Xenopus tropicalis: one gene and its partners. The protein of the gene in region 3 interacts with the protein of the main gene of each other region in a pairwise test. Links are inferred from orthologs where the notes say so. Each region holds a gene or a part of one and is shown on either strand. Other genes may lie near its edges. The genes, in order: mybpc3, gmeb1, trim63, pdhb, tcap, uqcrc1 and sqstm1.

What was found.
Region 1: the proteins of trim63 (region 3) and mybpc3 interact in a two-hybrid assay, tested with the Homo sapiens proteins (2 studies listed by BioGRID and IntAct). The link is inferred for Xenopus tropicalis from reciprocal best matches to the Homo sapiens genes TRIM63 and MYBPC3.
Region 2: the proteins of trim63 (region 3) and gmeb1 interact in a two-hybrid assay, tested with the Homo sapiens proteins (2 studies listed by BioGRID and IntAct). The link is inferred for Xenopus tropicalis from reciprocal best matches to the Homo sapiens genes TRIM63 and GMEB1.
Region 4: the proteins of trim63 (region 3) and pdhb interact in a two-hybrid assay, tested with the Homo sapiens proteins (2 studies listed by BioGRID). The link is inferred for Xenopus tropicalis from reciprocal best matches to the Homo sapiens genes TRIM63 and PDHB.
Region 5: the proteins of trim63 (region 3) and tcap interact in a two-hybrid assay, tested with the Homo sapiens proteins (3 studies listed by BioGRID and IntAct). The link is inferred for Xenopus tropicalis from reciprocal best matches to the Homo sapiens genes TRIM63 and TCAP.
Region 6: the proteins of trim63 (region 3) and uqcrc1 interact in a two-hybrid assay, tested with the Homo sapiens proteins (2 studies listed by BioGRID and IntAct). The link is inferred for Xenopus tropicalis from reciprocal best matches to the Homo sapiens genes TRIM63 and UQCRC1.
Region 7: the proteins of trim63 (region 3) and sqstm1 interact in a two-hybrid assay, tested with the Homo sapiens proteins (2 studies listed by BioGRID and IntAct). The link is inferred for Xenopus tropicalis from reciprocal best matches to the Homo sapiens genes TRIM63 and SQSTM1.

Annotation. Positions count from the first base shown.
Region 1 is NC_030680.2:15,840,835-15,845,026, reverse strand, and holds the start of mybpc3 (myosin-binding protein C, cardiac-type), read left to right. Parts: upstream 1-1,392; 5' UTR 1,393-1,496; coding exon 1,497-1,521; intron 1,522-4,192. UniProt on the Homo sapiens protein: Thick filament-associated protein located in the crossbridge region of vertebrate striated muscle a bands. In vitro it binds MHC, F-actin and native thin filaments, and modifies the activity of actin-activated myosin ATPase.
Region 2 is NC_030678.2:78,408,554-78,412,604, forward strand, and holds the start of gmeb1 (glucocorticoid modulatory element-binding protein 1), read left to right. Parts: upstream 1-1,251; 5' UTR 1,252-1,279; coding exon 1,280-1,407; intron 1,408-4,051. UniProt on the Homo sapiens protein: Trans-acting factor that binds to glucocorticoid modulatory elements (GME) present in the TAT (tyrosine aminotransferase) promoter and increases sensitivity to low concentrations of glucocorticoids. Also binds to the transferrin receptor promoter.
Region 3 is NC_030678.2:76,882,553-76,884,832, forward strand, and holds part of trim63 (E3 ubiquitin-protein ligase TRIM63), read right to left. Parts: intron 1,551-2,280; coding exon 1,528-1,550; intron 1,087-1,527; coding exon 962-1,086; intron 125-961; coding exon 59-124; intron 1-58. UniProt on the Homo sapiens protein: E3 ubiquitin ligase. Mediates the ubiquitination and subsequent proteasomal degradation of CKM, GMEB1 and HIBADH.
Region 4 is NC_030680.2:148,523,371-148,525,538, reverse strand, and holds the end of pdhb (pyruvate dehydrogenase E1 component subunit beta, mitochondrial), read left to right. Parts: coding exon 1-91; intron 92-798; coding exon 799-947; 3' UTR 948-1,668; downstream 1,669-2,168. UniProt on the Homo sapiens protein: The pyruvate dehydrogenase complex catalyzes the overall conversion of pyruvate to acetyl-CoA and CO(2), and thereby links the glycolytic pathway to the tricarboxylic cycle.
Region 5 is NC_030686.2:9,928,860-9,932,831, reverse strand, and holds tcap (telethonin), read left to right. Parts: upstream 1-1,172; 5' UTR 1,173-1,252; coding exon 1,253-1,395; intron 1,396-2,106; coding exon 2,107-2,524; 3' UTR 2,525-3,511; downstream 3,512-3,972. UniProt on the Homo sapiens protein: Muscle assembly regulating factor. Mediates the antiparallel assembly of titin (TTN) molecules at the sarcomeric Z-disk.
Region 6 is NC_030680.2:153,046,311-153,049,407, reverse strand, and holds the end of uqcrc1 (cytochrome b-c1 complex subunit 1, mitochondrial), read left to right. Parts: intron 1-2,234; coding exon 2,235-2,310; intron 2,311-2,399; coding exon 2,400-2,464; 3' UTR 2,465-2,597; downstream 2,598-3,097. UniProt on the Homo sapiens protein: Component of the ubiquinol-cytochrome c oxidoreductase, a multisubunit transmembrane complex that is part of the mitochondrial electron transport chain which drives oxidative phosphorylation.
Region 7 is NC_030679.2:22,202,840-22,206,869, reverse strand, and holds the start of sqstm1 (sequestosome-1), read left to right. Parts: upstream 1-1,230; 5' UTR 1,231-1,566; coding exon 1,567-1,756; intron 1,757-3,108; exon of another isoform or gene 3,109-3,546; intron 3,547-4,030. UniProt on the Homo sapiens protein: Molecular adapter required for selective macroautophagy (aggrephagy) by acting as a bridge between polyubiquitinated proteins and autophagosomes.

The DNA of each region.
Region 1 (4,192 bases), on a different chromosome or scaffold from region 3:
CTGGCTGCAGCACTAAAATCTGAGGTGACTTTTTATGGTTCCTTGTTAACCTGTCAATCAAGTCCAGACTTCTGATTTAGAAGCAGGAACTACTTTTACTAATGGCTACTTTTAGCAGCAGCAGATACTTTTAGGTAGGGCGAATTTTGGGACTAAATAGTATTGACGGAACTAGGCCAGTTGCTAATTAGCTGGGATTAAGATATGTCAGTCCAGTAGGTCCCTCTCATTATGTTTGGCCTACAATTTTCTGAGGCTGTCAGGGGCTGCTGGGAATTATGGTTCAATAAAGGAAATATCTGGCTTTTACTTGCTCAGTTGAAAGATATATACGAGACTGAGGTTAATGTAATGTAGTCAGGAGTAAGTATTTGTTTGGTTGCTATGGGGTAACCAGCAAAGCTTGTTGGTTAAAACATGGTTGTTTGTCTTTGTGGAAAAACATGTTGCCTAGCAACCAATGGTGTAGACATCAAAAGGAGTAAAGGAAAACTGTATGGAAATTATATAAAGATGATGACTGAATCTATTCCAGTCAGCCATGTTAAGGGGGACCTGTCACCCACACATACAAAGCTGTATAATAAAAGTCCTTTCAAAATTAAACATGAAACCCAAATTCTTTTTTAATTAAATCATCCATACCTGTTATAAATGTATTTAAAAATCTGAGCTGTTGATCATATATTGCAGGCAATTTATGATTGACAGCTCAGATTTTTAATTACAATAAGTTTAACTTTCCATTCAGCACTTCCTAGATATCACCTAGATGGCAATTGCATAAGATTTGGGGGTGAAACAAAGCTCGTCTTAATAACAGTGCCCACAAAATGGCGCCGGCCTGCTGGCTGTGATTGTAAAAGACTGAAGGAAAAAGAAATTCAATCATTTATATAGTGTAAGTAAAGTTTATTTTGCTCTACTAATATGATACAAAAGCATCTGGAATTGTTTCTTAGGGTGACAGGTCCGCTTTAATCTGTTTCCTGACTTGGACAGGCTATAGGGCAGCCATTTTTGTTGTGGGGAAAATTTTGTCTGGGAAATGGAGGCCTTGTGGTGTTTTACAATAGAACATGGCAGGGTGCTACCGGCAAGGGCCATATAAAGAATAAAAATTAGGCCGGGCATGAGAAGGGCAGTAACGACAGGGCAAAGCAGTAAAACAATGGCTGGCATGGGAGACAGTTATATGGGGCAGTAAAAAAGCAGTAGGGGCCAGACAACAGGACCCGGGATGCTGGGCTATATTTATCCCGGCTGAAATATTCTGTCAAGTGAGGTCTGCTGTCAGAGAGGTGACAGGAGCGAGTGACAACAGGAGGGAGTGTGGGGGTGGAGCACCGAAAGCTTCTCCCTATCTGCCATTCTTTAAGGGGGTCTGTAAAAATCCCACAGCTTCATTCCAGTTCCAACCCGGTACTGGTCTGGAACTACTGCTGAAAATTGTCTAGTTAGCATTTGGGTTCTTCCGCCAAGCAGGCTGAGCTAGGATGCCTGAGCCTGTCAAGAAATCAGGTAGGATGGGGCAAGTGATGGGGGTAAAGGTGTGCTAGGTATGGGCATCATATGCGCTGGGCATGGGGCAGGATGGCAGAGCTGGTGTAATTGCTGCAATGTGGAGGGGCAACTGGTAGATTACAAGGAGGTGGCTGGTACTGAGTAATCACAGGAATTTTCATCTACAGCTCTACCTACAATATGAATGGACCATATACTTACCCCTATGTCTAACACCCAGCAGTCTCCTTATCATTTAACTAGGGCACATCTATGCAAATGAATGTTTTTTTTCCATTAGTATATCCATCTTGTATCTACCTGTCTCTATACCACAGGATCATCATCTCTTTAGATGGAATAAAATAGGGCTGTCCGACTAGTGGCCAATGAAAAGCAGTGCCATAAACAACTGCCATCATCCTTAGATATTGGGTTCAGTTCACAATACCTGGATAGAAGGACATTTTACATGTCTGTGCTAGTATATGTGTGTCATCAATGTACCCCCAGTAACTACTTACCTATTAAACAGAAGTCTACCTATCAATCCATAACTCAGTCTTTCATCAACTGCCAGACCTTTCTATTGATTAGTAGGCAGCTGGATTGGTCTATTTATCTGGCAAAAGGACTTTAATTATGGGTCATAGTTAGAGGTCCATTTTCTTTAATATAGGGGAATCTATCTATCATCTATCTATCTATCTATCTATCTATCTATCTATCATCTATCTATTATCTATATATCTATCTATCCATCTATCTATCTATTATATATCAACATCTATGAGTTCATGTATTAAGGTGCCAGAGGCATGGCGGAAAGTTATACAATTGACTTCAACAGAGTGACAATGATCATTTCCAGGCATTTTGTTTTGTATTTCCGAGAATATGCCAGCTGGCTCTGCACACTGAGGGGGCATGACACTCAGCAATGTGAGAATGACATATGACCTAGATGAATGCCAGCTTGGCCTGTAGCTTATCTTAGCTACTGTAATTATGAATTGCTTAAAGGGACAGTAAAGCATCTATCTATCTATCTATCTATCTATCTATCTATTATCTATCTATCTATCTATCTATCTATCATCTATCTATCTATCTATCTATCTATCTATCTATCTCTATCTATCTATCGAGTTTAGGGAAGTTGCAGGAAGAACATGTTACTTGTGTTAGGGAAGCAGTTTAATGCCATCAATGCCGAGAAAACAGGCAGGGGGCTTGTAGCACCTACTTTATGGTTGTACATCCCATGCCTCAGATGAACATTGGATGGAACTCTGCTTATTTTTGGCTGGGACTAATAGGGAATTGATTGCTCTTGTGACCTGAGCTGTAAGGAACAAATGCAAAAGCCGATGACTCTTACTCGCCATCAAAGGCAGTCAAGTAGGAGCAAAGCCCTGATTCCCTTATTGCTGACCCAGCGCAATTTCCCATGAGTCTGTGAGCTTTGTTTGGATTCTTCCATACCACTGTGCTTAAGTATAGCTAAAATGCTTGTTCACAGCTGCCCTACGAAGGGGAATGGGTGTCCTACATTGCAAATGTCATCAAGGTCATGGTGCAAGCAATGGGTGTGCAATAGTCTTAATGGTTACTTAATGGTTACCCACATTGACCCCTCTTACCCTTTATACCATTTACAGTTTATATTCCATCATCCCCCAATTTAGAGCCCCCCCATCTCTTACATCCACAAGGGCTAGAGGATCCCTGGGATCCCATAGTTGTTTTAGTATTTACTGACAACAAAAGAGGGGGATTGACAGGGGTGGTCTTTTTAGGGAAAATGGCCCTAGATATTTTAGGGAGTTCTGTGGCTGTTTGCTTGTTGTTAAAATGCAGGTTTAAACCAAAATCTAGGATCAACATTCATGTATCTTTTCATTCATTTATCTACTAGCATTGGTGGGGCCACCTAGCAACCTTGAAAGAAGCTTCTCTAAAGCATTAGAGGTTACCTATTTATAATGATAGCTTCTCCTGTGACCCACAGGAGACAGCTCTCCAACTGGTAAGCTTAGTCCAGCTCTTACTAAACTACAACTCCCAGCACCCCAGCAGCAACCAACATCTATGTACGATTCTTAGAGTTGTAGTTGAACAGGTTAAAGTGTATACATTGGTGCAAAGTGGATCTTCCATTGTCCAAAACCCAACACCTGCCTCAGTGTTTAGTGTCCTGCAATAAAACCCAACTGACATGTAGCACTCTCTCTTGGCTTGCCTATGTTTCAGGCTGGGGGGTGGTGAGTCTGTATGTGTTCCACCTGCCCTGCATGAATCTCATCGTGACATACGTGTTGTCCTCATTGCTGCTTTGTCACAGACAGATTCTAATGGGGGATACAGAAATGCCAAGTCCTAAATACTTGGTTATATACAGATCACAGACCTTTGGGAAATGGTGAGGAGGAGATTTAGCACTGCAATTTTCTTCCCAAAAAGTCCTCTTATAAATTGTCCAGAAGATCACTTACTAGTATGGTCAATGGGGATATAGGGATTACAGCATATGCGATCCTTGCTCCCTGCTACTACTAATATATATGTTTCAGCCACGAGGCAAGGCGAGATCATTCCTTCAAAGAGGGCAAGGAGATGCCTTCACGACAAGTTACAAGCCCTCCCATAGTCAATAAAATGTGATCAGCATACTGTTTTATAATACATT
Region 2 (4,051 bases), about 1.5 Mb from region 3:
TCGGCAACTTTTTCTCTCACTGACTATAAATTATTTTTCTTTATTGACTATGCAGCCATTGCCTTTCAGCTCTTTAAGACTATAAAGTACTGCAAGCTTCTTAGCGGGGAATGCTGGGTGTTGCAGTCTCTCAACACCTAAAGGTTGAGTACTAAATTAAATTCTCTTTGCGCATGCGCGCCGCTTTAACCATACGGAAGTGTCTGAATTGTGGAAAGGTGCGCTTGCGCAGTACAGCTGCTGTAAAGTTCGCCAGCGAGCGTAAACGCTTTGTTTAGGAATTTCCAAAGATTTGAATGATAAATATATTGAAACTAAAAAGTTCGGCGTTTGTTAGTTTTAAAAACGAGTTGTAGCTGTTTTATGTCGAGTTGCGTCTCTATGAGAATGGATAATTACCTGTTATACTGTAGTAGGTTAAGTCTATAAAATGTGCCTATTGGGATGGTAGGTGCTATTTAAAGGAATATGGTGCCAATTATAATTTTTTAATTTTCCTTTATTTGCATGATGCAGGCATGTTATACGTGTTTATGGAGATTGTTTATTATTTACATCCTATCAGTACTTGCCTAAGCTGGGCTTACAATCAAATAGGGTAAACTAAAACAAATTAAAGTTTGCAAAAGGTCTGATAATCACTTAACAATGAGCAGATCAGTGGGGGACCTACTAGGGGTGCATCTGCAGTGCATCTATGAGAGACTCCTCTCATATTCACATAACTGCCATATTGTTATGTCTCTTCATCAGATGGGGTTGCCACCTTTAAAAGGAAAAAAAAAGAGACTTGTTTCCCTACTTTCTTTCATACCAATTGATAACATTGGCATGAAGTATTATTTGCCAAGTAGCAAATTGTTAACCTTCTTGCATTGTTTTGTAGTGCTGTCAGAAACAAAAGCAAATTCACACAGGTTTCCCCTAAAATAAGTAGAAGTTACCATGGCTCAGCTGAGAAATCCTACAAGTGCAAAGGTGTGGTGGACACGAATCAACAAAGAAAAACAACACACTTTTTTTGTGCTGGAGATAATTAAAACTATTATTACTTAGGTTATGTTTAAAAACATACAAAAAAGATCCTGCTTTCCTCCCACACCAGAATTATATGATAGACCAAACACTGTTGTTTGCTTATATGGCAATAAATGCTGCTCAATGCATTGTCCATATGTGCTGCTATCTTTATATACACTAGACCATGCAATATAACTTGCTCTTTTTTTTTCTTGGATGAATTAGGTTGTGGAGTAACACTGCACAATCTGTGTAACTAATGGCCAATGCTGAGGTGACAGTCCCCATGGGGGATGTGGTTGTGATTCCCAGTGACTGCACTGAGGGGGAAGATCCAGAGGATACCAAGACACAGGTGATCCTGCAGTTGCAGCCCATACCTCATGGGTAAGTGTACAGGTGGCCGTGCACATTGTGATCTGCTCAAGCAGCTCTTCTTTCAATAAGCCCACCTAAGGTGGGCAATATCGGCCCTAGGACCAAGGCGCCATCAGACCGAGGGCCGCAACAATGAGCCGATGCAGTCCCCTAATTCGACAGAAAATTAAACCTGCCCCATTGAGATCTGGACAGTTTTAGGCCAGATGTTGGTCAGATAGGCCCATCGGGGGTGCCCATACATTGGCAGATGAGCTGCCAAACTGGTCAATCCTAGTCCCTAAGTAATCATTTCAGCAAAGATGGATAATGAGTATTTACTCTTAATTTTTTGTTGTACTAACATAATGCCGTCATAAACAAATTTGTTTGGATGCAAAAACAATTCATTTGGTTGGCAGATTTATCAAAATGTGAGTTAATGAGTGGTTAATTCATAAAAATCACCCGTTTTCTATTCATACCTATGGGATTTAGAAGCGTATTTATCGGTGAAAGTTAGAACTCACCATTTGATAAATACACTTCTAAAAATCCCTGTAACTTTGTAATTATTATCTTAAAACTCCCACAATGCGAAAGATGTTTGAAGGTAAATAACAAGGTTTCAGAAGTTGAACAGTGGTTTGCCTTTATTTTGCAAAGGCTTGTGCTTACTGAATCTAGGCAGTAACCCATAGCAACCAATAAAAGTATTTAGCTTCTTTTCAGATAGGCATAAGTAGAACAGTAAAAGAAACATTTGATTGGTTGCCATTGGTTACTGCCCAGGTGCTAATTTGCTCAGTATTAATAAATTAGCACCAGTGTCTCGCATAAAAAAAAATCTAGGGTATAATTTCTGAATCTTGACTTTTTCTCATATTGAAGTAAAATATTTTTTGTGTGTAATTTTTTTACTATCCAATGTTTTCCTATGCTAAAAACTTGTCAAAATGTACTCTGTCCCAAGCTAGCATTCCATATAGATGCCACAAAAACATTCTCTGCAATGTTTCCAGTCAACATTTTTATAGAATGCTTGGAAACTTCCTGCAACTTTAGAGGTAATAATGTAACTCCACCTCAGAGCAGGCAAATGTTTTTAGGGAAAAAATGGAAAATGGATGTGAAAAATAGGAACAGGTAGGTGAACTGCAGGACAAAGTCAAGGAAAAGCCTAATATTTCTTTTCTTTTTATTAAAAAAATCAGTGTTACATAAAAAACGAGAACAGTAAACTTAACATTAAGTATATCTAACCAATGCTGCAGTATCATTAACAATATACATTATAAAATACATTCATATCATCACATTGGGGTTTGTGGGATATAGTATTTGGTTTGTCTGGTGTGTGGGGAAAAATTGAGAAGGGTCACCAAAGTAGGCAGAAATGCATATCTTCAGATTCTATCCATGACCCCCAGACTTTCTCAAATTTCTCCGGATCTCAATTGGCTTAAAGCCAATTGAGATCCCAATTGGCTGATTTAATAAAGTTTAGATTGATGTTCATTTGAAAACGACGGTAGAAATAGTAGAAATATTAGGTAGTAAACCTAATATTTCTACTATTTCTACCGTCGTTTTCAAATGAACATCAATCTGAACTTTATTAAATCAGCCAATTGGGATCTCAATTGGCTTTAAGCTATGTTTTCCAAATGTAAGTGAATGGCCATGTGTTCCGTTAATTAACTTGAATTTGGTATTTAAAAAGTGTTTCTACCACTGAAACACAGTAGAATTTTATCAAGTCATGGCTTTGTTTATATACATATACAGTGGTGTGAAAAACTATTTGCCCCCTTCCTGATTTCTTATTCTTTTGCATGTTTGTCACACTTAAATGTTTCTGCTCATCAAAAACCGTTAACTATTAGTCAAAGATAACATAATTGAACACAAAATGCAGTTTTTAAATGAAGGTTTACGTTATTAAGGGAGAAAAAAACTCCAAATCTACATGGCCCTGTGTGAAAAAGTGATTGCCCCCCTTGTTAAAAAATAACTTAACTGTGGTTTATCACACCTGAGTTCAATTTCTGTAGTCACCCCCAGGCCTGATTACTGCCACACCTGTTTCAATCAAGAAATCACTTAAATAGGAGCTACCTGACACAGAGAAGTAGACCAAAAGCACATCAAAAGCTAGACATCATGCCAAGATCCAAAGAAATTCAGGAACAAATGAGAACAAAAGTAATTGAGATCTATCAGTCTGGTAAAGGTTATAAAGCCATTTCTAAAGCTTTGGGACTCCAGCGAACCACAGGGAGAGCCATTATCCACAAATGGCAAAAACATGGAACAGTGGTGAACCTTCCCAGGGGTGGCCGCCCGACCAAAATTACCCCAAGAGCGCAGAGACAACTCATCCGAGAGGACACAAAAGACTCCAGGACAACATCTAAAGAACTGCAGGCCTCACTTGCCTCAATTAAGGTCAGTGTTCACGACTCACCATAAGAAAGAGACTGGGCAAAAACGGCCTGCATGGCAGATTTCCAAGGCGCAAACCACTTTTAAGCAAAAAGAACATTAAGGCTTGTCTCAATTTTGCTAAAAAACATCTCAATGATTGCCAAGACTTTTGGGAAAATACCTTGTGGACCGACGAGACAAAAGTTGAACTTTTTGGAAGGTGCGTGTCCCGTTACATCTGGCGTAA
Region 3 (2,280 bases):
ACCATGACCTTTGTTATAGAGACATATGTGTAAATTTGTCTATGACAAATGTTCTTACCTTCAAGTGTTTCTTCTTCAGTTTCTTCATATTCCTCTATATCATCTTCCTCATCTTCATCACAGTCTGTAAAAAATAACATTTAGCGGTACAGTACTTCCCAAATGGCTGATACAGCATTCTCATTAGTCTATTTTGATGCAGTTATGGGTTTCCTCTAACAGGTTCTCAAAATCACTGACCAAAGAAAGAGTGTATTTTACATTTGTTCCATGGTGACAAATATCTACCTTTTGACTAGATATGTTAAATAAACCCAATGACAAAATCAGTCTGTCTTTATTTTTTTTCAGTATTTGATTTTTTTTAATTTATACTACTACTACTTGGTGAGTGTTTTATTTACTGTTGCTTTTTTGTGCCTTTATTTTTGGTTTCGATAAAAAGCATGTAATGGTAGTTCAACTTTACATAAACTTTAACTATGATTGAACAGATATTTTGATGAGTGACAATTGTCTGAGACAATTTGCAATTGGTCTTCATTTTTCATCTGCTTGCTTTTGTCCCATTTCCCTAGCAACCAGGCAGTGGCTTAAATTAAGACTTCAAGATAAAGATATAGGTGAGGGTCTGAATAGAAAGTTATGTAATGGATAGTGATAGAAATAACAAAAAAAAAATGCAGCCTCGCAGAGCAATAGTTTTTTTTCTTTTTTACTTTTTTTCAGTGAACCCCATTTGAAAGCTGGAAAAAGACAGAAAGCAGCAAATAATTGTCCTACTTTTTTATTTAATTTACATTACTTGAAATAATTTTTGTAACTGATTTACTTTAAGAAAATTCCTTTGTAGACTGTATTTGTTTTAAACAATGATGACTATATTCTTATTATCAAATGCTATTGTCACCCCAAATCCTGCATTAAACAAGATCCTTTCCAACCATGATTCTCAGCTCACTTGGAGTGAAGTCAATGCTTCTCAGACACTGGCTGACATGTTCCATATCCAGGGTGAACTGGTCCATATTTTCAAATCCATGATCAGTCTTCTCCAATTGGCAGCCTTTGGATGCTTCCATTAGCCTGCAAATACAAGAGTTAACATTTAAATAAGCTGAACAGCACTCTGAACAGCTGCATTCTTAGATATCCCTAACATAATATAATAAAATAAAAATGGGCAAAATTTGCCCAAGTATAATGACCCATAGCAACAAATCAAAAGCAATGCTTGCTTTTGCATCAGACATGTATTTGACAAATAAATGCTACCTGCTGATACGACTCCTTGCACTAATTGCCATTCTACAACTTCCTCTTATGTCACCTCCCCATGTTTCTTTCTATAGCCCTTCCTTACTGCTGGATCCTTTGAATGTTTTCATTTTTTTTTACTAGTTGCTTCTCTGAGCAAAAGGCACACTGGTATTGTTTTATTATGAACTCGATATGGCTGAATCACCAGTTCATGCAGTAGGTAACAATCATATGATTTTCATGCTTTGGATCTGGAATGTTACTTACTTTTTAATAAGCTGTTTGGACTCCTGTAGGAAAACAGCAGAAAAGAAAAGGTTTAGCACAGCATAAGAGAGGTACAACATAAGAAATAGAAAATGTTTAAACTAAATTAGACCGCTATAAATGGATTTTTAAAGGATAAATTTATAAGACACAGGCAATTTGTATTTCCTGGATTTAATTTACACTATATTTGGGGTGTGTTGACCTATTATGCTCTGATTGTGTTGAAAGCTGTATTAACCTTTTAAAACTGTGGTGTCACATACTCTGGGTAGGTACATAGGTACATTTAATACTCTGTGAGCAGCATCGCAATATACTGTTCTTGCAAGTTGGATGCAGGGGGTATTCTGCCCAATTGGCTGGCACTGTTTGCATTGTGGCTTAATCTGCTTGACAACTTCCCTGAATAAATACAATAGAAGGCCTATTTATAAAGACGAGTAAAATATTTTATGCCCTTGTTTTTTGACCCCCCTTCCCTCTTGCCTTCTGTATCCCCCATATTATATGTTTGAAAATAAAGAATATTTAAAAAAATATATATTTTATGCCAAAAAAGTCATACAAAATATAACGTGTATTTCTAAGGTTCTTTTGTTGCCTTTACAGCAAAAATTTTTGGCATAAAAAGAGCCAGATCTGTTTAAAATGCAGTGGCACTTAAAGGAACAGTAACACCAAAAAATGAAAGTGTATAAAAGTAATTACAATATAATGTACAGTTGCCCTGCATTGCTACAACTGGTGTGT
Region 4 (2,168 bases), on a different chromosome or scaffold from region 3:
AGCGTTGTGAAAACAAACCATCTGGTGACAGTAGAAGGCGGTTGGCCACAGTTTGGCGTAGGCTCTGAAATCTGTGCCAAGATCATGGAAGGTCGGTGCATCTCTGTGTCTCTGTCTCATTGGCTAATGATTTTATTCTATGTATTCTGAGGCTTCCCTCTTGTAAATAGAATGGGAGGTGGGCTCCTGGGGGGTTTGATAAGAAATTTTGTTTGCAGATACAAATTACTGGAATGTGATCTGTTTATGAAACAACAGACAAACATGTCTGCACAGACTCACCCCCTCTTAGGTGCCTTCACATAAGCCTGGGAAATAGGCCGGAGATGGGTGCTGGCCAAATCAGCACAGTGCTCCAACACTGCCTTACTGCAACACCATAAAAAAAGAAAGCAATATCTTCTCGCCCCCATCAGCCGATCAGCAGAACAATGGGAAGGGAGCAAGATAGCAGCTCCCAGTAGGTATCGGAATAGCACTCAATAGTAAGAAATCCAAGTCCGGCTTGAGACTCCTCCAGTTACATGGGAGTAGGAGAAACAATAGGTTAGCTGAAAGCAGTTCTAATGAGTAGCGCTGGCTGAAAGCTCAGACTCGGGCACAAGGCACTGAGATGGCGCCTACACACCAATATTACAGCTACAAATACATTTGTTGGTTGAAGAATAAAAGGTTAAATGGCAGAGGGAATTATTTGCTGTGTAACAGTGTCATTTAGAGATAAAAAGTGCCCCATAAACATCATGGCAGTGTCCCTATCCCCCCTCTAATTGTTGCAATGGTTCATTCCATTCCCAGGGCCAGCATTCAATTACCTTGATGCGCCAGTGGTCCGTGTGACTGGCACTGATGTCCCGATGCCTTACGCCAAGATCCTGGAAGAGAACTGCGTCCCTCAAGTGAAGGATATTATATTTGCAGTAAAGAAGACTCTGAATCTCCTGTAGGCGGATCCGGCATGGGAACACTTTATAGGAGGGTCATTTACATTTTAATGGGCGACTTGTTATCCTATGAACAGAGAGGATTCTGCTTCCTGCAGACTGAACTGCGACTGCAACATTTGTACTTTATAAATGGTTCTTGGAAGCTGCCTTATGTGCGAATTGTGTCCTAGTTACCCTTTCCCTGGGCAGCGTCCCCTTAATCACTCCCCCGCGGGTCATCTGTGCCATTTGTGTCCTCTATGGAGAAACCAGTTACAAGGAGGGACTGTTCAACTCTATTAGTCGTCCCTGAACCCAAAAATACTTCCCACAGTCCTGTCACTAGTTAAAGGGCCAATTCACCTTTAAATTATTCTTGTGTATGTTGTGGTTTTTGTTCTAGTTGCTATGGTCCATTTTGCCCTAGCAACCAGGCAGCGGTTTAAGTCAGAGACTGGAAGATCAGTGGGAGAAGCCTGAACAGGCTAACGGAATAAAAAGTAACAATAAAATTGTAGCCTTATAGAGTGTTTTGGCTGCCGGGGTCAGTGACCCAAATTTGAAAGCTGAAAAGTGACAGAAGAAAATGATTTAATAACTATAAAATGAAGAGACGTTAGCAAGTTGATAAGGACATTCTATAGTATACTAAAGTATATTTATAGGTGAACTTCCCCTTTAATGTCATTTCTGCAACATTTCTTCCTCTCTGGGGGGAATAAACCATTTTATCCACTGGAAAGTCTTTGTATTACCTGTGCCCGGAACCCCCTATATCCACACTGGTGTCCCACAGAGCCGGGTAGGAATAATAATAATAATATTATAATAAGAAATAGGAGCATTGAATGTTTCTTGCACAGGAAGCCAAAGTAAGAACTGCCATATGGCTACGTAACATCTGATTGGCTACTCGCTCTGCATGTCTAATACACAATGGGTGGAGTTGTAAAATCATTGCTCTTCTCCTTGGTTCTGATGGGGTTAATAGGGGGTTTAGGTGGAAAATGTCGTTTAATTCCTCTCCTGGACCTTAATTATCCAATTGAGCTAATGAAATTGTATGATTGCTTTAGTCAAGATGAGCTCCTCCTCCAAAAGGCCCCTATGATGCCCTCTATAGGGGGGGGGGGGTGAAGGCTGCACCCCAAACCTGCCCATGGTTCCAATTCTTCAATGTTTTACATCCCCCAACTGGCTGCCACACAGAACAAATATTTATATAAATGCACTGGATTCTGA
Region 5 (3,972 bases), on a different chromosome or scaffold from region 3:
ATCTGTTATCCAGAAGCCTGTTATCCAGAAGGCTCCAAATTACAGGAAGGCCATCTCCCATAGAATGCATTTTAAGAAAGTAACTCCCATTTTTTTCAGTGATGTCCATTTTCTCTGTAATAATAAAACAGTACCTGTACTTGATCCCAACTAAGATATAATTACCCCTTATTGGGGGCAGAACAGCCCTATTGGGTTTATTTAATGGTTAAATGATTCCCTTTTCTCTGTAATAATAAAACAGTACCTGTACTTGATCCCAACTAAGATATAATTACCCCTTATTGGGGGCAGAACAGCCCTATTGGGTTTATTTCATGGTTAAATGATTCCCTTTTCTCTGTAATAATAAAACAGTACCTGTACTTGATCCCAACTAAGATATAATTACCCCTTATTGGGGGCAGAACAGCCCTATTGGGTTTATTTCATGGTTAAATGATTCCCTTTTCTCTGTAATAATAAAACAGTACCTGTACTTGATCCCAACTAAGATATAATTACCCCTTATTGGGGGCAGAACAGCCCTATTGGGTTTATTTAATGGTTAAATGATTCTCTTTTCTCTGTAATAATAAAACAGTACCTGTACTTGATCCCAACTAAGATATAATTACCCCTTATTGGGGGCAGAACAGCCCTATTGGGTTTACTAAGATCAAGTATCAATGGATACAAAACAATCCTGTTGGGTTTAATTAATGTTTTATTGATTTTGTAGTAGGTATGGAGATCCAAATTATGGAAAGACGCCTTATCCAGAATACCCTTGGTCCTGAGCATTCTGGATAATGGGTCCTATACTTGTACTGAGCTTGCCAGCACTCTTTCTATGCCACCCAGCAGGCTATTTACCCAGCCTGGCATTCCCTAATGACAGTTCTGTCCCTAATGGGCTGCCATAAGGAGCTCTTACTGTAACATATGAGCCCTCGCATTTTCCGCTGAGACCGTGTAACCCGGTTATTGATGACAAAGCCTATAGGTATGTATCAAGCTGGGCGGCAGTGAGCAGCTTTCTGGGAAGCCCTGAGTCCCAGCTCTGTTCCATATCTGTCCCCACTGTGACTGTGCGAGGGGCAGCGCTGGGGGGGGGGGGCAGGATGACTCTTTGGGCAGATATAGAGTGTTACAAAACAGAATGAAAATAGACACAGACAAGGGTATATAAATGCGGGGAAGAGCCCTGCCTGGCAGAGCCACACACACAGGGAATCAGAGGGAGAAGCCACAGAGCTAAATCTAGAGAAACATGGTGGGAAAGCCTGGGACCCCCAAGGCCATGGGGAACGTGACTGAGCTGAGCTGCCGAGTGCAAGAGGATAACACGGCCAGGAGGGAGCACTTCTCCGCAGAATGGATAGACACCTCCATGTTCAGCCGACCAGAGGAAAGGTATGAAGGGGAGAATGGGGGGACAAGGGAGCTGGCAGTGGGGAGGGGAGGACAACTGTTACACACATGTGCTCTACCTGTTATTTTATATGCCTTTAGTTGCCCTTTAAACCAACACACACCCTAGTTTAAAGGGAAGCCATACCCCTGGCATCCCCATGTCTCTGTATTTAAAAACACATTAAATTCTCTGTGCTGATTGGTTGCTATGGGTTACTAGACCCAGACTAACCTTTGCTGTATTTATTACATTACCCCCAAGGGATTCCCGGGAACAAATTCCTTGAGGCTCCTAAAAAAAAATCCCATTTGGGTTTATCCTATAGGTTAAAGCTCACCCAATGGGTGAAGCAGAAGCCGGGGTAATAGCTGATCAGATTCCCAACTACAGACCGGTTTTGCCCTTCTTGGGGCTCATCAGTGTAGCGCAGGGTTTTCTGATCAGCTTAGGGAGAGCCAGGAGTGGGGATTCACGGACAAGTCATAAGGGTTGAGGAGACCGCCTCATACATTACCCCCCAAAGTGTTACTTTCGCTGGTTTGTTCTGCTACCCCCCAACTCTTCCTTTCCAAATCTGTCATATTACTGCATGCCCAATGCTGACACCTAAAGACTTGGCACACAGGAATAGGTACCCAAAGGGTTACAGTGTTGCTTGTGGGTATGATAAAGTATTGAGTATTAATCATTTCTTTTGCTCCCCATTTCAGCTGCAATGCCCGTGATGCCAATGTGTGGAGGAGAGAGAGTTTCCGCCAACAGGGACAGACCCGCTTCCTGGTCCAACAGTCTCCCGCACAGGTCATGAAAATGGGTCGCCTTGGCCAGAGACTCACCCAGTACCAGCTGCCCTACCAGAGAATGTTGCCTCTGCCCATCTTCAAGCCAGCAGATCTCAGCACCAAGATGGAACGCATAGCCACCCCGCCCCAGCTGCGCGGCATGATGGAGTTCGAGAGGGCGCTTAGCCACCCAGGCAATGACGGCGTCTGTCCGGATAAGAAGTCGCTCTCCCAGATCACTAAAGAGTTGCCTCCAGTCATGCAACCAGTGAGAATGGAGATGATGAAGCCAGGCCTGGCCCAGTCTTTCACAAGGTCTACGTCCCAAGAAGTCATGAGAGGGTAGAAGAGAGGAGAAGGCGAAGGGTCTAGAGGAGAGTGAAAGGTGTAGAGCAACCACCCAATCCTATCTGCTAGTCATAGATGGCCAGGTTAGAGTGCAGTGTGTGTCTGCATGGTGTCTGCTCTAGAAGGCCCCTACTTTGTATAGCTGGATTATAGGGAAACGGCCAATTGGTTCCCGGCGGCAACCTCTTCGTTGTGTTTGTAAACTGGATAGAATATTCCAGCTTGAGATTATTTGCAGAAGTTTATATGTCTTTTATCTGTAGGTCACAATTTTGGGAATGATATATGGAATGGAAGGTGGCATATGAGTAGGTGCAGGAGCTCGTTGTCCTTAGTGTAGAGTTAGGGGGGAAAAGGTAGTCATTCCCCAAGCCCAGGATGGGAGACAGGGTACTATGGCTGAATTCCCTTTTTACTAGACAACAATGGGTTCCTTGTTGCCCTGGTTTATAGTGCAATGGTTGGTGGCCAATTTAAGAAAGGTTGGAGACCCGGTTGAGCATTTCAGTCTGATCTGATCTAGAAAAGCCGCTTACAGCACTGCCAATAAGCAAGTTACCCGGGGCACTCGGCAGAGAGATTGCAGGTGAATAGTTATAATGAGGGACATAGTTTGTATAAAGCCCCAGGGTGGGGCAATGTAGGCATCAGACCCATAATGGAATGGGCTACAATATACTGTATATCCCCATCCTCTCCTACATGAAATCCAGGTGACTGAACTACCCAATGGCACGGCGGGAGCTGCCATACTTGGGCCATGGTGGCTTCTACACCTTGAGTGATGGGACAAAGAAAAACCCGTTAGGTGAAACGATGGACTGCAGATCCCTCTGCCCTTAATGGGGCTCAGATATGTTTGCACAGTTTTATATGAAAACAGATACATATTTATATTTGTACCTATGTTCTCCTTTGTCTTGGTACTAATTAAGTTCTAATGTTATTTTCTTACGTCTAATAAAATGAATGTTTCAGCCCTTTTTTTATTGTGACGCTTACATTTATATTCACAGTATAATATACACACACAAATACACACACATTGCTAGGTGTGTACACATATATATATATATATATATATATATACATAGTCAAAAGGTACCCTGATCTCAAGGGATCTGGTATTGATATGTATTGAATGTATTGCTTATGCAATGGTTACATAGTTAAGTTGGGTTGAGAAAAGACCAAAGTCCATCAAGTTCAACCATTCCAAGCAAACCCCAGTGCATTTATATACTTAGTATAAGTAAATATAATATATTAATAGTGTGTGCCATGTTTTCCCAACAATAAGAGCACATACAGAATACAACAATAACGAGTATTCCTTCATAGGTATAAACAGATATTAATTGTATCAGCCATATGTGCCACTGATATCGGTTGAAGATACCTGCTTTAAATAAGGACAACTAAGTCAAAGCAAGGTAAGGATCGGTT
Region 6 (3,097 bases), on a different chromosome or scaffold from region 3:
TGTGGGTAAATGTGTGTGTGTGTGGGTAAATGTGTGTGTTGTACTGTAAATGTGTGTGTGTGTGTGTTGTACTGTAAATGTGTGGGGGTAAATGTATGTGTGTGTGTGTGTGTTGTACTGTAAATGTGTGGGGGTAAATGTATGTGTGTGTGTGTGTTGTACTGTAAATGTGTGGGGGTAAATGTATGTGTGTGTGTGTTGTACTGTAAATGTGTGTGTTGTACTGTAAATATGTGGGGGTAAATGTGTGTGTGTGTGTGTGTGTGTATGTGTGTGTGTTGGTAAATGTGTGTGTGTTGTACTGTAAATGTGTGTGTGTTGTACTGTAAATGTGTGGGGGTAAATGTATGTGTGTGTGTGTTGTACTGTAAATGTGTGGGGGTAAATGTATGTGTGTGTGTGTGTTGTACTGTAAATGTGTGGGGGTAAATGTATGTGTGTGTGTGTGTTGTACTGTAAATGTGTGGGGGTAAATGTATGTGTGTGTGTTGTACTGTAAATGTGTGGGGGTAAATGTATGTGTGTGTGTGTTGTACTGTAAATGTGTGGGGGTAAATGTGTGTGTGTATAGGTAAAAAAAAAAAGGTTACTTACTTTGTTTGTGAGCTGGAGAGTCCTTGGCTGTAAACATTGTCCCATGATGGAGTCTCTGCAGCGGGTGGGCGGGATCAGCAGGGCTGGGGGAGGAGCTCTAACAGCAGACACCATGCCATCTGCCATTCTGTCTGCTGTTAAAAGTCAGTCCTGCGACAATCAAGTTGCAGGACTGACTTGCCAGCCCCCTTGGCTCATTGCCTGGGGGGTTTGGGGTGCGATGGACTCTCTGCACTGGTGGCAAAAGCCAACAGAGAGAGGCTTTATTTCTGAAACACGTATGTCATACGTGCTTGGCAGGAAAAGAGTTAAAAGGACTGTTCACCTTTAAGTTCACTTTTAGTTACACAGTGGCCTATTTCTAGCAACTTTGCAATTGGTTTTTATTTTATATTTCTTATAGTTGTTTGAGTTATTTCCCTTCTTCTTCTGCCTCTTTGCAGCTTCCAAATGGGGGTCACTGACCCCGGCAGCCAAACCCTATTGCTCTGTGAGGCTCCAGTTTTATTGTTATTGTTACTTTTTATTCCTTATCTTTCTATTCAGCCCCTCCCCTATTCATATACCCGTCTCTCATTCAAACCTCAGCCTGGTTACTAGGGTACATAAGACCCTAGCTACTAAATTCCTAGTAATGGCCTACCCAGACTCCCCTGGCATTGCCCCCCATCTGGGCCCATAGAGGGTGGGGCAGTAGCAATGGGCATTACCCCCCCATCTGGGCCCATAGAGGGTGGGGCAGTAAAAATGGGCATTACCCCCCCATCTGGGCCCATAGAGGGTGGGGCAGTAACAATGGGCATTACCCCCCCCCATCTGGGCCCATAGAGGGTGGGGCAGTAACAATGGGCATTACCCCCCCATCTGGGCCCATAGAGGGTGGGGCAGTAACAATGGGCATTACCCCCCCATCTGGGCCCATAGAGGGTGGGGCAGTAACAATGGGCATTACCCCCCATCTGGGCCCATAGAGGGTGGGGCAGTAGCAATGGGCATTACCCCCCCATCTGGGCCCATAGAGGGTGGGGCAGTAACAATGGGCATTACCCCCCCATCTGGGCCCATAGAGGGTGGGGCAGTAACAATGGGCATTACCCCCCCATCTGGGCCCATAGAGGGTGGGGCAGTAGCAATGGGCATTACCCCCCCATCTGGGCCCATAGAGGGTGGGGCAGTAACAATGGGCATTACCCCCCCCCATCTGGGCCCATAGAGGGTGGGGCAGTAACAATGGGCATTACCCCCCCCATCTGGGCCCATAGAGGGTGGGGCAGTAACAATGGGCATTACCCCCCCATCTGGGCCCATAGAGGGTGGGGCAGTAACAATGGGCATTACCCCCCCATCTGGGCCCATAGAGGGTGGGGCAGTAACAATGGGCATTACCCCCCCCCATCTGGGCCCATAGAGGGTGGGGCAGTAACAATGGGCATTACCCCCCCCATCTGGGCCCATAGAGGGTGGGGCAGTAAATGCCTTGTTACCCTGCCAATGTGCCCTAGTGACATATTCCCTTATTACTATTTCCTACATATTAAATAGATTGGGTGGGGCTCCATAAAGCCAAACTGTAAGGGGCCGGCCCCTTTGCTCTGTTCCCATTGGCTGAGCCAATCTGCCTTCTCTTCCCCCCCTGACAGGCTGTGAGTGCTAAGAAAGTGAGTGAGATCTGCTCCAAGTACCTGTACGACAAGTGCCCCGCCGTAGCCGGAGTGGGTAAGTCTCTCCCCCCCCCCGTGTCCCTCTCTCACGGAGCCGCTCTGATTGGTTCCCTGCCGGTAACCACCTTTGTCTTCCTCCCCCAGGGCCCATTGAGCAGATCCCCGACTATAACCGGATCCGCAGTGCCATGTATTGGCTGCGCTTCTAGCTCCGCCCACCCAGCGGCTGAACCAACCGACAGAGAGGAGATGCGCATCTCTGCCCATTCGCTACCAGTTAACCCTTGTGTTTCCGACAGCAACATCAGAAAGAGTTAATAAATGTAATTTAAATGTACACAATTCTGCTGGTTTGTCTTCCCTTCATGGCTTTTGTTTTTATTGCATAATAAATAAAAATATATATATATATATATATATATATATATATATATATATATATATAGATAGGGTGTGGCTTATAGAGACTAAATATATATAGTAGATAGGGTGTGGCTTATAGAGACTATATACAGTATATAATATATATAGTGTGACATAACAAACTGTATAAGTTGGATGAAACTATTAGATATTTCTGTTTATGCTGAAATGTACCCCCTGCCCCCCTCCTACCTGTTGTACAAATGCATTGTGTAGGTTAATCTCATCTAGGTGTGTATTGTGTGTAGCCAGCCGGCTCTGTCTGGCCCTCCCCATGTAATTGCCCCTATTGTGAGGGCACACAGAGCCAGACCCCATAGTGACACAATACACATAGTTACCCCTTGTGAGAGCAATGCTCTGTCTAGTAAATGCAATAGACTGAACTGGGCATGCTCACTAGGTGGCTTCCCATAGGC
Region 7 (4,030 bases), on a different chromosome or scaffold from region 3:
TCAACTTCTGAATGCCCATGTTAGCCCTGCCATCCAATTTCATGTGTAAGCAGCTGTTCCAGCTACAGTAGGCAGTGTTGGACTGGGACCCCAGGGGCCCACCAGAAAACCTTGGACCCTAGGCCCACTCTCCAAACTATATTTCCTCCTTTCCTCACCCAACCTCTTTATTCTCCTAGTCTCTTTTATTTACATCTATCCTTCCATTTATTTCTCCTCTTTCTTCCCATTCAGAAATAGCAAATGACCTTGAAGTATGCCAAATGGTCAGGAGAATAAGGGCCCACTGACCCCTCGGCCCACCGGGAGTTTTCCTGGTATCCTGGTGGGCCAGTCCGACACAGTAGGCCTCAGTCTGCTTAGGAACATAAGCTGCAACTGTATTATATTCACCATTAAAGGCATTGGCCCTACATTCTCCTGTCATGTTTGAGTTAAAATTCACCATAACTCAAACTGGGCAAGTGACCCATCTGTGAATAGAGTTGCCATCTGTCCAGCAAAACTTATGCTTGATGTTATCTGTAATGGAGAATGATAAAATAAAATATAGGAAAGCAAAGGTGGCAACCCCAATCTGCAACTGTTCTAGATGTTTCCAAAGCTTGGGCTCCTATATATTGCTGGACTATAACTCCCTGCACGCTTCACCATATAGTCTAGTTTTAAAGCACTCTGGGAGCTGCAGTCTTTCAACATCTGGCGCCATAATTAAGATACAGACACTATGGGGCACATTTACTATTCCATGAATTTGAATCCCGAACGGCAAAAATTCGGATTGGAAACGAAAGTTTCTGAACTTTTTCGTCGCCATCATTGCAAATTTTTCGTACTGACCGATCGTAAACGCCGGGAAAACCTTTCTGACTTTGATCTTTCAGTGCATATCTGCATGGGCTCGATCAGTGCACTTGCACACAAAAGAACATTCCGGTAATGTGACGAAAAGTCATGGAATATACGAAAAAGTCGTGATGGCGCAGAAAAAGTCGCAAAAATACTGATCATAACGAAAAAAAAACGCTTTTGGAGCGTTCCTGGGTTAGTAAATGTGCCCCTATGTGTAGGAAGTTACAATCCCAAAAGTGGAATAAACAGAGAATAGAGTAAGAAATTATATTTAATTATACTTATAAAAACCTTAAATTCACAAAAAGAGGTTATTGTACACTTTTCAGTTAAACTGTACTTTATACTGTTCAGAGGACTGTGAATCTGTCATTTATTATGTAATATTGCCCTGCAGTTGGTAGTCTTTAGTCCCCTCACTGTGTGGAGTTCCCCCTTTGTTTTGCCAGGTCACGGTGACATCACAAGGTTGGTGGGCGTGGCTAGCAGAGTGGAAGAGTCTGGCAAGTTCCAAAGGGCTGATACTAATAGGAATACATTGGACGTAGAGGGTGGACTAAGGAGGAGTGGGGATTTCCAGGCTGGCTGTATAAATAAAGCTGGGACTGCTCTCAGCCGTCAGTCACAGAATAACAAACTTCTGCGCAGTCGTTCTGCTCATTGTTTTGTTCCTAACTGCGACATCGCCGCCTATACGGTGCCCAAGGTGCCACCATGCCAGTCACCGTGAAAGCCTATCTGCTGGGCAAGGATGAGAGTCACAGGGAGATCCGCCGCTTCCAGCTGGAGCTGCCGGCTGCCGGCAAAGAGAAGGCGTCCGTGTCCAGCTGCGAGCTGCTAGCTAACAAGGTGACTGGCGTGTTCCAGGGCCTCAAAGGGGGAGCCTTCCAGATGTTCTACAAAGGTGGGAAGCTCAGTCATTATATACTAATAATTGCTTATATCAAATAATTGTTACATGGGTATATAATTAATAATTACCCGACCTCAAACCTGACCTTCATTCATATTTGCCAGCAGATATTGGCATATATATCCCCTGCACTTTGCTTCCAATTTCAAGGTAATATGAGGCTTGGCATGAGGATAAACCCACCTCCCTAATGGGCAAATAATCTCCTTGGAAGATACCATGTCCAGCAGGGGATGCTGAATGACTGCCAGTTTATCATGTGTAATAATAGTAAGAACCAGTCTCCAGTCTCTGTGTTGCAGAACTACACCCCTCTGTAGCTCATACGCTGGAAGAATGTAGTGAGTTGCAACAGGTTGCCTGTGTCTGGGGTAAATTCTGTACATTATACACTTGTATGTGCAAATAATTGTTCAGCGCACACACAGCCTACCCACAATAGGAACGATCTTCGGGTACAGTCGATGGTAGCAACACAAACTTGTGCTACAGCTACTAATTCTGTTTATATCTCAGTGTGGTTATGGCTTCAGGGTGAATCACAGCATAATATTATTGCCTAGGGCAGAATAAACAGCGCTGAGGCCAAATAATAAGGAAAGTTCAGTGAATGTGGGTAGGGCAATCTGTGCATAAGGCACCTAGCCCACAAGCCACATTGCCCTCACTGGATTGTTGGTAGCCCTAACCCTCGTGTATTGATCTACATGGGTGACTCATTTAATAAATATAAGATGGTTGTTAGCAGATATTAGTACTATAACTAGTACTACAAACTGATTTAGAAAAACAATATGAATATAATGTTTAAATAATGAATAACAGACAGTTTTCTAACCATTTCTTAATAGATGAGTTAGTAATTTTGTCTAGTGATCCGTGGTGTGCCCAGGATTTGGGTGTTGCAGCTCACACAAGCACTGGCATGGGTTATGTACACAACTTAAGTATTTTTCTTATAAAAAAACATGGCTGCGTGCTTTATCACTGCTAAAGGGGAAGGGCCATTGTGTGTTTGTTTTGTTGGTGCTGTCTGGTTATGCAAGGGGAGTGGCAAAGGTTGTCGGTCTAAGGTCTGTGTTATATATTTGTACTTGTCGGCTTGTATTGTATTTTTTGTGATACGTTTGGATGATTGTCAGTAGGTCAGAACTATGCTGATAACAATGTTTCTTGGCTTTTATACATGTGGAAATTTCCACTCTTGCCGGATCTGGTTAACATCTTTCCCGAGCCAGGACCTGATTAATAATAGCTAGAGACTGAAACTGGGGGAAGCAGGTTATTAGGATGAGGGCACTAAAGAGTTATTAAGCAGAATCTGAGCGATATCTAAACCTTACCTTAGCAGATACCATAATAGCTGTCCAGTGTTTAGTCAATGAAATACGTGGTAGATCCATGGCACCTATAATAGAAACAACTCACACAGCATTGAGGCAATCTCCTGTACAGGAAGTATAGTGTGCAACTGTGCAAAGGTTGTAGCTTCCCACGGTCACCAATGTATAGTCTCAGCAGATCAGACTTCATTTTTCAATCTTATCAGAATTCAGCCAGGCTGTGTATTACATTGAAGGAGGACGCCTAGCCTAAAACGAATTTCTCTTGAAATGCTGTATTTTATATACTGCACTTGTTGTAACAGCAGAGGCAACAGGAATTATGCAGGACTCCAGATCAGCTCACCATCTTAGACCTTGTTAAGCCATCTGTTTAGTGTCAGTGACACTGCACTTGCTCTGTGTGCTCTTGGCTGTTTTTGAGAAATTAAGCTTTGCCTGAAATTATCAAACAGAAAATTAAGTTTAACTTTTACAGAAGCTGATGTTTCAGGTTGCACTGGTTTCTAAACTTGTGTGTAATTAATGTGAAGTTCATTTAATTACTAATTAGACTTTCATTGTAACTTTTATATTAAATGTATAGAATGTATATTGTGAATGGGTCCTTATGCTTAGGCAAATGACAGTAGCCCCCCAGAGTATGTGCTGTGAATTAGCAGCAGAGAAGATGGGGAGCTATGGGAGGCATCTTCAGCGGTACAGATCTTCCCTGCTAGATAGTAGCAGGTAGCCTTGGGTTACTAAATAAGGTCAAAACATAATAGGGCTCATTTATCAACACTTGGCAAATTTGCACGTGGGCAGTAGTCCATAGCAACCAATCACTGATTTAGCCAGCCAAAACAGTGAACAGTGAAAGCAAAAATGTAATTGTCATGGGTTACTGTCCATTTGCCCAGTGTTAATAAATGATTCCCAG